3 linked regions of the Sus scrofa genome follow. The protein of the gene in region 1 purifies or fractionates together with the protein of each later gene. This does not show direct contact. Links are inferred from orthologs where the notes say so. Each region holds a gene or a part of one and is shown on either strand. Other genes may lie near its edges.

The links.
Region 2: the proteins of CEP97 (region 1) and SUGT1 purify together in Homo sapiens (affinity purification with mass spectrometry; 3 studies listed by BioGRID and IntAct, with this or other methods). This does not show direct contact. The link is inferred for Sus scrofa from reciprocal best matches to the Homo sapiens genes CEP97 and SUGT1.
Region 3: the proteins of CEP97 (region 1) and CCP110 purify together in Homo sapiens (co-immunoprecipitation; 10 studies listed by BioGRID and IntAct, with this or other methods). This does not show direct contact. The link is inferred for Sus scrofa from reciprocal best matches to the Homo sapiens genes CEP97 and CCP110.

The regions. Positions count from the first base shown.
Region 1 is NC_010455.5:157,385,016-157,390,127, reverse strand, and holds the start of CEP97 (centrosomal protein of 97 kDa), read left to right. Parts: upstream 1-1,702; 5' UTR 1,703-1,800; coding exon 1,801-1,843; intron 1,844-3,667; coding exon 3,668-3,810; intron 3,811-5,112. UniProt on the Homo sapiens protein: Acts as a key negative regulator of ciliogenesis in collaboration with CCP110 by capping the mother centriole thereby preventing cilia formation. Required for recruitment of CCP110 to the centrosome.
Region 2 is NC_010453.5:25,903,852-25,908,819, forward strand, and holds the start of SUGT1 (protein SGT1 homolog), read left to right. Parts: upstream 1-1,590; 5' UTR 1,591-2,259; coding exon 2,260-2,297; intron 2,298-2,394; coding exon 2,395-2,452; intron 2,453-4,968. UniProt on the Homo sapiens protein: May play a role in ubiquitination and subsequent proteasomal degradation of target proteins.
Region 3 is NC_010445.4:26,163,669-26,168,059, reverse strand, and holds part of CCP110 (centriolar coiled-coil protein of 110 kDa), read left to right. Parts: intron 1-1,042; coding exon 1,043-1,116; intron 1,117-1,639; coding exon 1,640-1,702; intron 1,703-2,850; coding exon 2,851-2,910; intron 2,911-3,405; coding exon 3,406-3,491; intron 3,492-4,391.

The sequences.
Region 1 (5,112 bases):
ATTTTTAGTCTTTTTTTTCCCCCACATATAATGATTTTCATTTTTTCCATTATAGCTGGTTTACAATGTTCTGTCAATTTTTCACTGTACAGCAAGGTGACCCAGTCACACATACATATATATACATTCTTTTTTCTCACATTATCATCATGCTCCATCATAAGTAAGTAGACATAGTTCCCAGTGCTATATAGCAGGATCTCATTGCTTATCCATTCCAAAGGCAATAATCTGCATCTATTAACCTCGAGTTCCTAATCCATCCCACTCTCTCCCCCTTGGCAATCACAAGTCCATGATTTTCTTTTCTGTGAAAAGGTTCATTTGTGCCTTATATTAGAGTTCAGATATAAGTGATATCATATGGTATTTGTCTTTCTCTTTCTGACTTACTTCACTCAGTATGAGAGTCTCTAGTTCCATCCATGTTGCTGCAAATAGCATTATTTTGTTCTTTTTTATGGCTGGTGTATATATACACCACATCTTCTTAATCCAAACATCTGTTGATGGACGTTTGGGTTGTTTCCATATCTTGGCTGTTGTGAACAGAGCTGCAGTGAATGTGCGGGTGCATGTGTAAAAGTTTCTAGTCTTTATTCTCTCATCAGAACTAGGAAATTTGTTTTCAGACCAAATCAGTGGGAAACATATTAAAAAAGAAAAAAAGAGTTAAGGCAGTGTGTAATTAGTAGGAGGAGGACCCAGGAAGGGGGGAATGCACACAGAATCAATTGCCTGGAAATCTAAAAGTGTGAGTTACTGGATTTTCCCAAACAGAAATTATCAGAGATTTTGGATACTGCTGTTTCAGAAAGAGGGAAATTCAGAATAAAAGTTGCAAGATGGAATGGAAGAGTGAGTGGTAGAAACTGAAAGCTCTCCTCCTCCATTCTGGGATGCTACCAGGTTAATCTCTCACTTCCTGTGAGCACAGCTTCATTATCACCTGCCTCCACCTGCAGCCTGTGCTGTCTTTTCATTTCTCTTTGAAGTGTCGGAGTCTACCCATCTTTTAAGCGTTAGCCGCCCATTTCAGTTCCCATTTCAAGTCTTTTCTGAAGATTAGTTTTCATTTCTTTCTCCAGCCCCTGAAATCTTACTGAGTTCGTAGCTACATTTACACTAGTTAGCGCATAAAGCTATATCACAAGTATAAACCTACTCTCCTCCAGCTAAGCAGTGTAATTTTTGATTTTGTATACTGTACACTTATTTTGTATAATCTGGAAATAGTCTGGGTTTACACTTACTAAATATACTCCCAGGCCTAAAGTTCTGTTAAATATTGGAGGAACAACCATTTAAAAATACTTTATAAAAACTTCTATCCCAGCATTCTTTAACTATATTTTCAAATAAAATATATCTACTTTGACTAATCTCAACAAAATCGCCTGTAGTGGAATTCAACGCTTTTAACTTATTCAGAATTGCCAAAAGAAGGGACAGCCCCCATTATCGGAAGTCTCTAGCAATGAGTTTTCAAATGCGATCTGCATTCGGTAGCAGATGGTAAAAGTGTCCAATTTCGAAAACACCTACAAAAAGGAGTGAAACTATCATTTAACATCTGTTCGCTTGTAGCCAAATAAGCGAGTTGACCAGGATTCCTAAACCCACTGCGGCTCAGTTTCTAACACACGTTTTGCGTCATTAGGCGTAGGGAGCCAATTGGGCCGTTTGGGTGCCGTGCATCCTGGGAGCTGTAGTTCCGGGGGGGGGTGTCCCTCCTCCAGACTACAAGCTCCATCGAGCAGCAGGAGGACGGTTGCTTGGTGTAATTAGCAAGCGGGAAGTATGGCGGTGGCGCGCATCGACGCGGCTTTGCCTCCTGGAGAAGGTAAGGCGACCGTCACCTCTGTGTCCCCAGGTTTACTCCATGGAACTGAATTAAATAGTTGCTTGACGGAAGGAATAAGACTGGGTATAGGGGTGCAGTTCTTGTCCAGTTCTTTTGATGCGGGGCTGCGGGCATCGCCGAGGCGCGCTACCCTCTGGGAGTTGTAGTCTCCTGGGCGCTGCCTGGCTCTCCAGTGTCGCGGCTAGGGCCAAGTGGGGGGACTACAAGCCCCCAGGGACCTTCGCGCTACTGGACGCCGCGGGTCCCGCGCTGCTGAGGATGCTTGGATGATGGGTTTCTGGCCGCGATGACCTTTCTTGGATGTTTACTTTGAGTTCTGGGTTCCCAAGTGAAAACTGCAGAGTCCCCCCTTTCCCTTGGATCCCTAAAATTTTCAAGAAAAATCTCTAACACAGCTCCCTAGATTGACGTTGGACCTTTTCTTGGGAAGTGTCTCGTGGCCGTGATAAAATCTGGGGGTTATTCAGAGCCCACAGTTCTCCACCCCTTGTTCTGTATATGTGGTCCTGGGACCTGGTTTGGTGGCTGCTGAGGAGAGCGCGGGGCGTGGGTGATTCCGTAGGTGCTGCGTGAGCCAGCTTCTTTGTTTTGGTTACAGCTGAGGCTCTGGGTCGGGGGCAGGTTGGAGGGTCGAGACTAGTCTCCACCGCCCAGATCAGGGCCTTATTTGGGAGGGAGGTTCTAAGAGGTCTTTCGGCCCTTTGAATTGTGTGCAAAAGCTATTCATTTTTCTGGGACGGTATATAGCTTTCACTAAATTCTCAGAACGGAATGACACTTCCTCTCCTACCTTCCCCCAAATGCTAGAAACCATTAGACAATGGAAAAACGTTGCAACTCTTCAGGAGAGCAACCTTGTATAGTTATTTCCCTCAGTAATCTTAATCTGGGTATAATTTGATATTGGTAGTTTCTCTGGCCCTTCCACCCTCTGATATCTGCATCTCTTAAATTCCCCTCACCAGCCCACCATGGCAGTTTACTGATAATCATAATAGTAACATTTATAGAGCACTTTTTAAATGAGCCAGACTATGTTCTGAGTGCCTTTTTTTTTTTTTTAAACATTATCTCATTTTCTCTGTGGAAGGTTATAAGCCAGAACCAGCTATAATGGAAAAAAAATAAAAATCATTATATTAAAAAAACCCCAAACATTATAAGCCAGGTATTATTATCATCCCTATTTTATAGAGTAGAAGAGCGAGCCCAAAAGATATCAGTAACTTGCCCAGGATATCACAGTATTTAGCTAGGGGAGCTAGGATCTGAAGGTCCGTTATATATACTAAATTATTTTATTGAATATTGTGTACCAGGAATGAGGCTAAATACTGTTCATATGGTTTCTCCTTTCATCTTCACATCAATTTAATGAATTAGGTATATTATTACCATCCTGTAGATAAATTTACTTTTATTTTCAAAATAGTTTGAGCACTTTAGGATATACTGGTAGGTTGTAAGCAGGTTGGTCTCTATCAAAAGATTAGTTACATTTTAAAAATACTGTCATTATTTAGGTACAGAATAGAGAAGTGATAGTTCCCATTTAAATGTGAAGAATTCCCAAATATAGAAACTTGAGTATCACAGATCTAGATATGATTTGATATTTCTGAGGGAAAGTGAATAATTTCAGTCTACAGTCATTGAGAAATCATTTGTTTTAGTTTTTCAACGATATTTATTATGCTCTGGTGTTTTCTAACTCTAAATGTGTAAGATTTTATGAGTATAATTTTATCCCTATGCTCAGCTCTTGTATTTGTGTTTTCTAACAGTTTCTCTTCTCTTTTCAAGGATCAGTGGTCAATTGGTCAGGGCAGGGGCTACAGAAATTAAGTCCAAACTTACCCTGTGAAGTTGATATTCATACTTTGATTCTGGATAAAAATCAGATTATTAAATTAGAAAATCTTGAGAAATACAAACGATTAATACAGGTAGGTATTGCTATGTGGAGAAAATAGTTACATGACTAGCTTATTCTTACAGAAAATGAAACAATCATATAACAAAAAGTAACTCTGCAAGCCTGGAAAGCAGTAAATGTTGCCTTACATTTAAAAAAATATTAGTAACTGTAATAAATTTATTTAGTAAATAAAATAATTTAATGAAAAATAAAAAATTTTTACATGACATGCTTATTACATAATTTTTTTTTTTTTTTTGTCTTTTTACCTTTTCTAGGGCCGCTCCCACGGCATGTGGAGGTTCCCAGGCTAGGGGTCCAATCGGAGCTGTAGCTGCCGGCCTACAACGCAGCCAGAGCAACATGGGATCTGAGCTGCGTCTGCAACCCATACCACAACTCACGGCAACGGATCCTTAACCCACTGAGCAAGGCCAGGGATCAAACCCACAGTGGTTCCTAGTCGGATTTGTTAACCACTGAGCCACGATGGGAACTCCTTTGCAGAATGATTTTTAAACTTCTGAAGATGAATATATATTTGCTACATTTAAAGTAGACTAGGAAAAAAAAAGCATTTGTTAAAAAAACAGGTTGGGCATTGGGAACTATGTTTAGTCACTTATGATAGTGCATGATAATGTGAGAAAAAAGAATGTATATATGTATGTGTGACTGGGTCACCTTGCTGTACAGTGAAAAATTGACAGAACACTAAACCAGCTATAATGGAAAAAAATAAAAATCATTAAATAAAAGCAAAAAAAAGAAAACAGGTTGGAAAAATACTACTTTTTTTTTTTGTCTTTTTAGGACCACACTCATGGCATATGGAGGTTCCCAGGTTAGGGGTCTAATCAGAGCTGTTGCCGCTGGCCTACACCACAGCCACAGCAACACCAGATTCGAGCTGCATCTGCAACCTATACCACAGCTCACAGCAACACTGGATCCTTAACCCACTGAGCAAGTCCAGGGATTGGACCTGAAACCTCATGCTTCCTAGTTGGATTTGTTTCTGTTGCGCCACAACAGAAACTCCTGTATTACATTGTTGAGATAACTTTTTATTTTATGGTGAGGGTACAGATTTCATTGATTTATTCATTCAGCAAATGTTTATTGGTCCCTTCTTGTGTGTCTGGCACTGTTCTAGATTTTGATGAAGTCAGTGTAAGGACTCCATTATTATGAAGCTTACATTCTCAAGTAGTTGCTGTATTAAAAATGTTTTCTTTTAGTAGTAGTTGGAGTAGGTCTGATTGCTTAGCTTTTTCTGTGTTTTCCACTGCTTAGAAACAGCAAGAACTAATAGTTATGCTGAAGAGTA
Region 2 (4,968 bases), on another chromosome or scaffold:
GGGATATCCATTTAGGGGGAAAAGGAACCTTAATCCCAACCTCATACATTTTATAAAAATTAATAGACCTGGACATGAAAAGTATGATAGTAAAGCATCTAGAAGAAAACACAGGTGACTCTGTTCATGGCTTTTGAGTAGGCAAAGCCTTATACTAGATGCAAAAAGAACTGATCACAAAAGGAAAGCTCAAGAGTTCTGGTGGTGGCTCAGCGGTAAGGATCCTGACTAGTATTAATGAGGATGCGAGTTTGATCCCTGGCCTCACTCAGTGGGTTAAGGATCCAGCATCTCGTGAACTGTGGTGTAGGTCGCAGATGCAGCTCAGATCTGGCATTGCTGCGGCTGTGGCATAGGCCGGCAGCTGCAGCTCTGATAACCCCTAGCCTGGAAATTTCCATATACCCTAAAAAGAAGCAAAACAAAAGGAAAGATCAGCAAACCCAGTTTTTTCTTAGTTATTTCTGCAATTCTTACCATCCCCTCCATCCCTATTGTTACAGACCTATTTATAAGAGTCACTTTGGCTTGTAATACAGCAGTTGTCTTCCAACTGTTCTTTTTTCTTTCTTTCCTTTTTTTTTTTCTTTTTAGGACTGCACCCTTGGCATATGGAAGTTCCCAGGCCAGGGGTCAAATCAATCGGAGCTATAGCAGCCAGCCTACACCACAGCTCACCGCAAAGCTGTTTCCTTATCTGAGTGAGGCCAGGGGCTGAATCAGTATCTTCATGGATCCTAGTTGGATCCGTTTCTGCTGCACCACAACAGGAACTCCCCAATGACTGTTCTTTTCCTTTATTCTTTGATAGCACAGATAATAAACATTTAAAATGTAAATTTCACTAGTACAGCCTTCTTTTGAGTAAAAATCTTATAATGGGTTAGGATCCTTCAGAGAAGCTCATCCCAACTTCTCAACGGACCACAACTAGTCCTTTATGACCTGGCACATAACCTACCTCCCTGCCCTCTCTGCTTCTAGCCTGAATTTTGGCTCTATCAATTTTAGAGTTCACATTATCACTTGCTAGCATTCATCCTATTCCGTCTGAATTGCTTTTTTCATTTCCTTCACTGATTCGTCTTTCCAAACTGAAGCTCGAGTACAAAGTGTTTGAGGATTCCATCCCTAGACCTTATGGGCGGCTAAAAGCCCCTTGTTACCACATCACTGACTACTGTCTTTCTTTCCTTTTAGCACTTAGAACTAAATTGACTTAAGTTTCTGGGGGGCATTACCACCACTGAATCCCAGGACTTAGTTTAGATTTTGGATGTAGTAGACACTCAACTTCAGTTATTCCTTCATCTCTACTGAGGAACCAACCATTCACTCCCACTCCCTCTTGCTCCCGGACTCCGGTCCGTGGAACCTGCTGGAAGTTTCGTCTATCTAAACTGCATGGGTCAAAAGTGGGAGGGGGCCTGTCCGACTAGGTGTAAAGTAACACCAAGACAACTTGAGGGTCCATTTCTCCTTTCAATGCCTTCGGATGGAGTACGTTTTTCTTCTTAGTCTGGGAAGCCAACGAGGAAGACAACCTTAGGTCTGCGGAGTCCTGGGGCCCATGGAACAGTCCACCCGCCCCGGAACCAAAAGGCTTCCTCTGCTCTACCCTCCGCAGAGGCAGAACGACTTCCGGAAAGTCCGCGGCCTTCAGGGTTCCCAGCGCCAAGATGCCGGCACCCACCAATGCGCCGCGCCATCCGGAACTCGCTCCCGGAAAAGAACACGTAGCGCGGGATGACGTCACGGGTCACAAAGGGCTCGGTTGCTTCCAAGAGCCATGATGAGCGCTGTAGGGAAAAACGGAGCTCGATGTGCTTTGTGTTATTAACAGACATATAAACTCCCCCAAAGTCCACACGTTCCCGAAGGAGAACAGTATGGTACAAAACTCCTTTCAAGCTAGCGCTCCGGAGGCTCCACGGGACTGTGGGCGCGCAGCGGGACGGAGGGCTAGCGTGAACCACCGCGGCCTCCGTAACCGAGGCTGCAGGGGGCGGAGCCTGCGGGGCTGGTCTCCGGCCAGGGGGCGGGCCGGGAGAGTCGGTCCTCCACGGTCCCAGCCCACCCCGCGCCCGCGCTTCGCCTCCCCTCCCCCCCCCCCCCCCCGCGGCACGCTGCGTGGCTGCTCGTTGGCTCCTTAGGACGGAAGCTCGGTTGGTGTTTCTCCAGAAGTTTCCCCCTTGGGCGGCGGCGGACTGGTAACCTCGGTAGGAGCGGCTCCAGCAGCGGTAACAGTGACCAGTAGGGATGGCGGCGGCTGCAGCGGGACCTGCAACGGCCCAAAGGTGCGTGTTTTACCTTTTCTTTGCTATTTATTAGTACCCAGCATCCTCTGTTTTCCTTGGTTAGTGCGCCCTGCTGAAGTCGTTGTTTTCCTGGCAGGTTTTTCCGGAGCTTCTCAGATGCTCTGATCGAAGAGGACCCCCAGGCGGCGTTAGAGGTGAGCGAGCTGGTCCAGCTTCCTTCACTTTGCTGTGGGCAACGGGGGGGCCGCGTTGGGTTCTGGCCCACCCCGCCTCTTCGCAGCACTGTTTTCCCGGGGCCGGGGCTGCTGCTTGTCTTGTGTCTCAGTCTTGATATTGAAAACCCCCGCCTCTTTTCTCTGTCCATCAGCGGCCCAGTCACTCCAGATCCCAGTTCTTGCTACCTCCCTCTCCTAGACGGTTCCTGCATCCTCGGAGCGTCTCAGTAAAACCTGCCTTCTTTCTTGGGAATGTGGTTGACTTTCATAGTTGGCCTGAAAGGGCCTGGTTTTTTTTGTTTGTTTTTAATGGCATTAGGGACAAAAAGGAAATTTTAGGCTTGATATTTGTTAACTCGGCTTTTCGCTTGACTAAGTCATCCTTGCCATTTTAATGTACCAGGCTCTGTGCTAAGTGCCTGTATGAACTCGCTACTGGAACAAAAACCTTTCCTGTGTGTGCCTGAAAATTTCCAGATGTCCTGTCACTGTTCATTATTCACTCATTTGCTTCTTCCTCAAAACAATTTCTTGGGGTTTTTGTTGTGTGCAAGGAACTGATTGCTGTGGGTTAAAGTCTTAGTTCGATGTTTAACTGACTTGGTGGGCATTCTGTGTGCAATGAAAGGCTATAAAGGTGTAAAGGAAAGCAAAAAACAAGAGTGAAGTCATGATTGAAACTAATAAAGGGAGCCCACATTAAGAATACGTGATGCAGTGGGTCCCAAAGTTTAGCCAGGTGTCTCTTGCTTGGAAGCTCAAGAGGGAACCTTGGTTCGCAGTTGTGATCCACCACATGGAAGGTGAGCAGTTTGAGGCAGGAAAACCTTTTCCTCACCGTGACTTCTAAAAGAAATCTGCCACATGGTTGGTTGAGGAGGTGACATCTGAGCTGAGGCCTGAGGGAGTGAGCTTGGAAGCTCTGGAGAAAGATGATTTCAGGCAGGAAGAGGAGCCGGTTTCAAGATCCTGAGGTAGGCGTGAAGTTGGCCTGCACAAGGAGCAGCAGGAAGGCCATTTAGTTGGAGGGGGATGAAAGAGAAGTAAGAGATGAGGTGGGGAGGAAATGAAGGCCTAGGTCCTGTGGGGCCTTTTAGGTTGGAGTATGTTTTTTGGGTCTGGATATGAAGACCTTCAGAGTGGCTGATGACTCTGTTGTGCTGTGATGTTTCCTAGTGATGCTTCTGGGATCCGTGTCAGAGTCAGGTTACTAGAGACACAGAACTTTGTCCACAATTCCTAATGTCGGCCGGATAGCTCTTCATGTTCTGAATCTACGTTTGGTATGGTCCTCTTAGGCGCCATGCCTCCTTTGGAAATCCAGTTTGTATAATAATAGCTCCTAAAGGATATGAATGTAGTGAGTTCGTTGTCCCCTTATATTTGATTTATTTTACTTTTAGAATTACTTATGGATGTGTGATAGGTAATACAGTTCTTAAATCTGCCACTCATGAGCTTGAAGTCTTACGTGTATATACTGCTCAGATCAAGGTACAGAATACTTAACATCCTCAAGCTTAATCTCCTATGTCCTCCTAGCCAGTTATTCCTCTACCCCACCAGATAACCCCTGTTCTGAATCTTATCACCACCAGTTAATTTTGCTTGTTCTTGAACTTAGAAATAGCATCATACACGAGGTACACAGTTGAGTGTAGGTATTGTCTTGCTTTAAGCATTAGGTAAGAGACATCCCCAGATTGTGTGAAGTGGTGGTTCTTTTTCATTGCTATGTAGTCTTGTGTATACATATAGCACAATTTATCTAGTCGGACAGTGGACATTTGGTTTATTTCCAGTTAGTGTGAATAAAACCACTGTGAATTTTCTTATACCTGTATTTTAGTAAACACACAGACTCCTTTTTGTGGGCGGGGTGCTTTTTTTTTCCTTTCTTTTTGGAAGTGAATTGCCTGGTTAGCTTTAGTGTGTTGATCCTTAACGTGTGGCTCTTGGGAATTCTCTTGTAGCACAGTGGTTGGGGATCCAGCATTGTCACGGCAGTGGCTTGGGTCGCCACTGTGGCACAGGTTCAGTCCTTGGCCTGAGAACTTCCACGTGACCCGGATGTCACCCCAAAAACCCCAAACAAAAAAAAATGCGTGGCTCTTGGACCAACAGCATTGCTTCCTTGGGAACATGTTAGAGGTGCAAATTCTTGGACCCTACCCCAGATTTTCTGAAAGTACTTGTGACTCCCACAGGCCAGTACTCTTCACCCTTCCGTTTTATAGAAGAAAACAGACCCAGAGAAATCCAAGGGCTCTGTCGTGGAGATGTGTACAGCCAGTTAGGGCAGAAGCCGCAGGACACGTGTTTCCTGACTCTTAGTCTAGTGCCGTAGAACAGTGGTTTTCAAAAGTGTGATCCTCGGACCACCTGCAGCAGCATCTCCTGGGAATTTTTTAGAAATGCAAATTCTCAGGATCTGCCACGGACCTGCATCAAGAAATGGGAGTGGGGAGAATGAACACGATGAGAAATCAGCCTGT
Region 3 (4,391 bases), on another chromosome or scaffold:
ATGAAAAGATAATGTGAAAAATTCATACTTATAATGATTCGTGCATTGATAATGAGGCAGCCTGGGAGCCTAGTGTAATCAATGTGACTGCTTCACAGTAGCCTAACCCATACAGTAAGGAATAAATTGTTATAATTATAGGATACAGTATTTCATTCATAATGCCGTATTGGAAACTGTTTTTCTTTTTTTTGTTTTTTAAACCACTCATCTGTGGTGATAGGTTGCAGTTGAGAAAGAGAAGAGGGGGAGAGGGAGGGAGAGAGAAAGGGTAAGAGAGAGAAAGAGGCAGGGATACTATATGGTAATTAACTTTTTGAAAGCAAAGTTATAAAACAATTAGAAAACTTAACACATTAATTTTATATTAACTATCACTCATGTTTAAGGATAGACTAGTATATACATGTATTTTATGCATTCATGCAAAATTTTTTTGGATAGTTCGAGGTTATGCATTTCATCTGTGAGTTTTTTCAAATTGTCACAAATCTCCAGTGTGTTTGTTGAAAAAATTCTGCATGTAAGATACCCATGCAGTTCAAACCTGTGTTGTTCAAGGGTCAGCTGTACATCAGAGTGTTGGAGATCTGTGGTCTGAATCAATGATCCTGGTGTGGTTGGCAAAAGACAAGTGAAATTTATACTATTTCATTGGGGAAACCAATTTTTTTTTTTTTTGCTTTTCAGGGCCACACCCATGGCATATGGAAGTTCCCAGGCTAGGGGTCCACTTGGATCTACAGCTGCCAGCCTATACCGCAGCCACAGCCATGCTGGATCCTTAACCCACTGAGTGAGGCCAGGGCTTGAACCTGCAACCTCATGGTTCCTAGTCGGATTCATTTCTGCTGTGCCATGGCAGGGAAAATAACTTTAATTATTTAATTTAAAAAATCAGCCTGCTTCAGTTATAAAGGCTGTTAAAGTTCAAAATGTTAGTAAGAGAAGCTTTTCTATGCAGTTTGAGGTCATCCTATATTATAATTCAGTGGTAGTACTGATACTACTAGAGCTTGATGTCACTTTTTGTGTTTTAAAGGATAAAATGAAAAGTCCACGAGTAGCCCTTTCAGCTGCAACACAGAAGTCTCTTGATAGGAAGAAGTACATGAAGTAAGTTTCTTTCATGTCTTGTCACATATTAATTATTATCAAAGCCAATAAATTTTAATCATCTGTTGGTTTGTATATTCAGATTAGAAATAATTTTTTCTGCAGCTGAGGTGATAGAAATCCCTTTATATAAATAATTTTATTCAGATCTGGTGGTAAAATCTGATCTTTACTAACTAACTAATAAATTTGTCCGTGTTCAACTTGTGTAATTGATAGCTAATCAAATCATCTTTAAAATAGTTAATCTTTCAGTGTTAATTTTCTATCTTTTAAATATACTCTTTTTCTAATACCTAAAGACTTCGTGAAGGGAAAAGCTTAATGCAAAGAATATCCTGAAAGTATCCTATTAAAACTCTTCTTTCTTGAAATTTGTCTTTAGTGTGCCTATCATAAGGTCCTTCAGTAGTATACCAACTTTGAAATGGCGATTGTTTCTGATCCTGTATCGCATTTGTAATCATGTTTCTCCCCTTTCTAAATACATTATTTGTGTGTCCTTATTTTTATATTGTGTTAGAGCTGCAGAAATGGGAATGCCAAATAAGAAATTTCTGGTTAAGCAAAATCCTTCTGAAACAAGGTGAGAAAAAAATCACTTAGTCTTGGTGAGAGGCTATTTTTCAGTTTTTTTTTTTTAATTGATTGATTGATATTTGCTTTTTAGGGCCGCTACACCTGTGGCATATGGATGTTCCCAGGCTAGATGGTGGAATTGGAGCTGTAGCTGTCAGCCTACACCACACTGAGCGAGGCCTTGGATCAAAACCGCATGCTCATGGATACTAGTCAGATTCTTTTTTGCTGTGCCACAACCAGAACTCCTATTTTTCAATTTTTAAGGAAAGAAAATTTTATAAATCCTGAGCTTGCTTTTCTACAGTAAATCAGTAAATCTCTCATCAGTTCATCAGTCAGTCTCTCCCTGCTGAGTTGGGGGGTTGCAGAGTCAGAACATAGTAACACCTGGTCAGGTACCTGGTCATGTGTCAGACCAGATGTTCCTGGAGCTTTTAGTCAGACATGCATCTCTGATGGAAATTTGAGCCCCATATGTCCTGAGTTCAGTCCGTGGTCCGAGAGGACTTTGATACTTTTTTGTTTTTTGTTTTTGCTTTTTAGGGCCGCCACACCTACAGCATATGGAAGTTCCCAGGCTAGGGGTCAAATTGGAGCTACAGCTGCTGGCCTACACCACAGCCACAGCAACGCCAGATCTGAGCTGTATCTGAGACCTACACCACAGCTCACGGCAACGCTGATACCCCACCCACTGAATGAGGCCAGGGATCGAACTTGTGTCCTCAAGGATACCGGTCGCATTCGTTTCCACTGTGCCACATTGGGAAATCTGATACTTATTTAAAAAACTTAGAAAGCTAGCTTAATATTTCTGACCTGTTTTTTGCAGTTACAAGAGCGATATTCTGTCTCTCAGATGTTTGCAAAGGTTTTGTAAAGTATATAAGTAACTTATCTAAAAGCACAAGGATTAATACTTGCTAGACATCTCTTTCCTGATGAAAAACTAAGGTTTGGGCTTTTGGTGAGCAAATTAAGTACCATATTAATACTCTGTAATCGACTTGCTTTGCCTGGTGCTAGTGTATAGGCCAAATCATTTAATAGATGCCTTCTACCCGAGTGTTATCATCTTTTATCTATTGAAAGAAAATGGGGAAAAACTGAATTTATCCTATCAAATTAATTTTTTATATGCTTTGTCAACAGAGTCCTTCAGCCAAATCAAGGACAGAATGCACCTGTTCATAGGCTACTGAGTAGACAAGGGTAAGAATGCAACACACATGGGTACTTAAAAAATATATTCAAATCAAGATTAGCTTTGAGAGGGAAAAATAATTTTGTGCTTTTTAGATAAAGGATAACTTTTCAAATGTGATCTTTTTATTACATTAGCAGAGCTTATAAAGTTTTGTGCAAAGATAACCCTTTGGGTGTACTGTTGTGTATTATATTTTAATTGTCATCTTATGTTGGCTTGTTTTTACTTTTCATTTCATACCATTTGCTCATTAAATATTATAAGCATTCACATAGTAAGTTCATCATCACCAAAGCGATTCTCCAGTAAAGCGTAAGCCATGGTTATAGTCTCCTGCTGAAGCAAAAGCATAGCTCCCTTCCTGTGCGTGTGCATGAGACTTAAATTCTTTTCAAGCTTATTGTGCTTTGAACAGTTGATGCCGTGTGGTTGCTTTCTTTGAATGTTGAACATTTAGACCTTAATGCAAGTGACTTATTAATTTTTTTATATTCAATTAGAACCCCTAAGACATCAGTGAAGGGGGTTGTGCAAAATAGACAGAAGTCTTCACAGAGCAGAATGCCTAACAGAGCGCCTGTTTCAGGTGTGTAGCAAACAAGTTCCTGAAGCCCATTCAATAGAAAGACGTGCACAAGCCGCCCCATGACACAGGCCACACCAGCGGGATCCAGTGTCTTTCCTTGCCACCATAATTTTGGCATATTCACAGTCATTCCTCCTAGTGATCATTTGTGTTAGTGTTTTGTGGCAGTCAGGAAATCTTAGTGAAGCTGTAGCCCCAATTCTGATTTCTGTAACAAATTATGAAAAATCTGTAGAATTACACAAACTTAATTCAGAGAAGTTTTTGTAAATGAGTAAAATATAACCATCTGATGTCTGCATCTGTGCATGTTTATTCAGCTTTGGGAAAGTGTATCACCCGGGAATATTTGTACCTGCACATAAGGGGAAAAATTCCTCCCTCTGACCACAAGATCACATGTGAATATGCCCGGTGGGAGGGGGTGAAGTCAGTCTTCTGCTCCATAAGAAGCTTGAGCTAAATCTTTATGTTCATTATTTGAGAATTAGTTAAGAGCTAAACTAAAACTATTTTAAAATTATATTTATGGTGGCAAGAAGACAAATTCAGTCTTGAGCTAATGCAAAACTGAAGCTAATGTTTTAATATTTTTTAGATATTTTTGTTAAGACTGTATGATAAACTCACCAGAAATGATGTGATCCATTAAAAATATTTTTAAAATGCTTTGCTTTAACTATACTGCTTTCTAAACTTTTAAAAGAAACCTAATCACCAGACAGTGAAGATTAAGTCTTTAATCAATTCTTATCTTCCCATTAGTATATAATTTATTAATAAAAACTCTCATATTTTAGAGCTTTTATTATTAAGTGATTTCCTTCAAATTAGGAGGTAACAGGCAATATATATTTTTTCATGTTATTACCAGTACTTCACATAGGTTCAAAAAGGGTA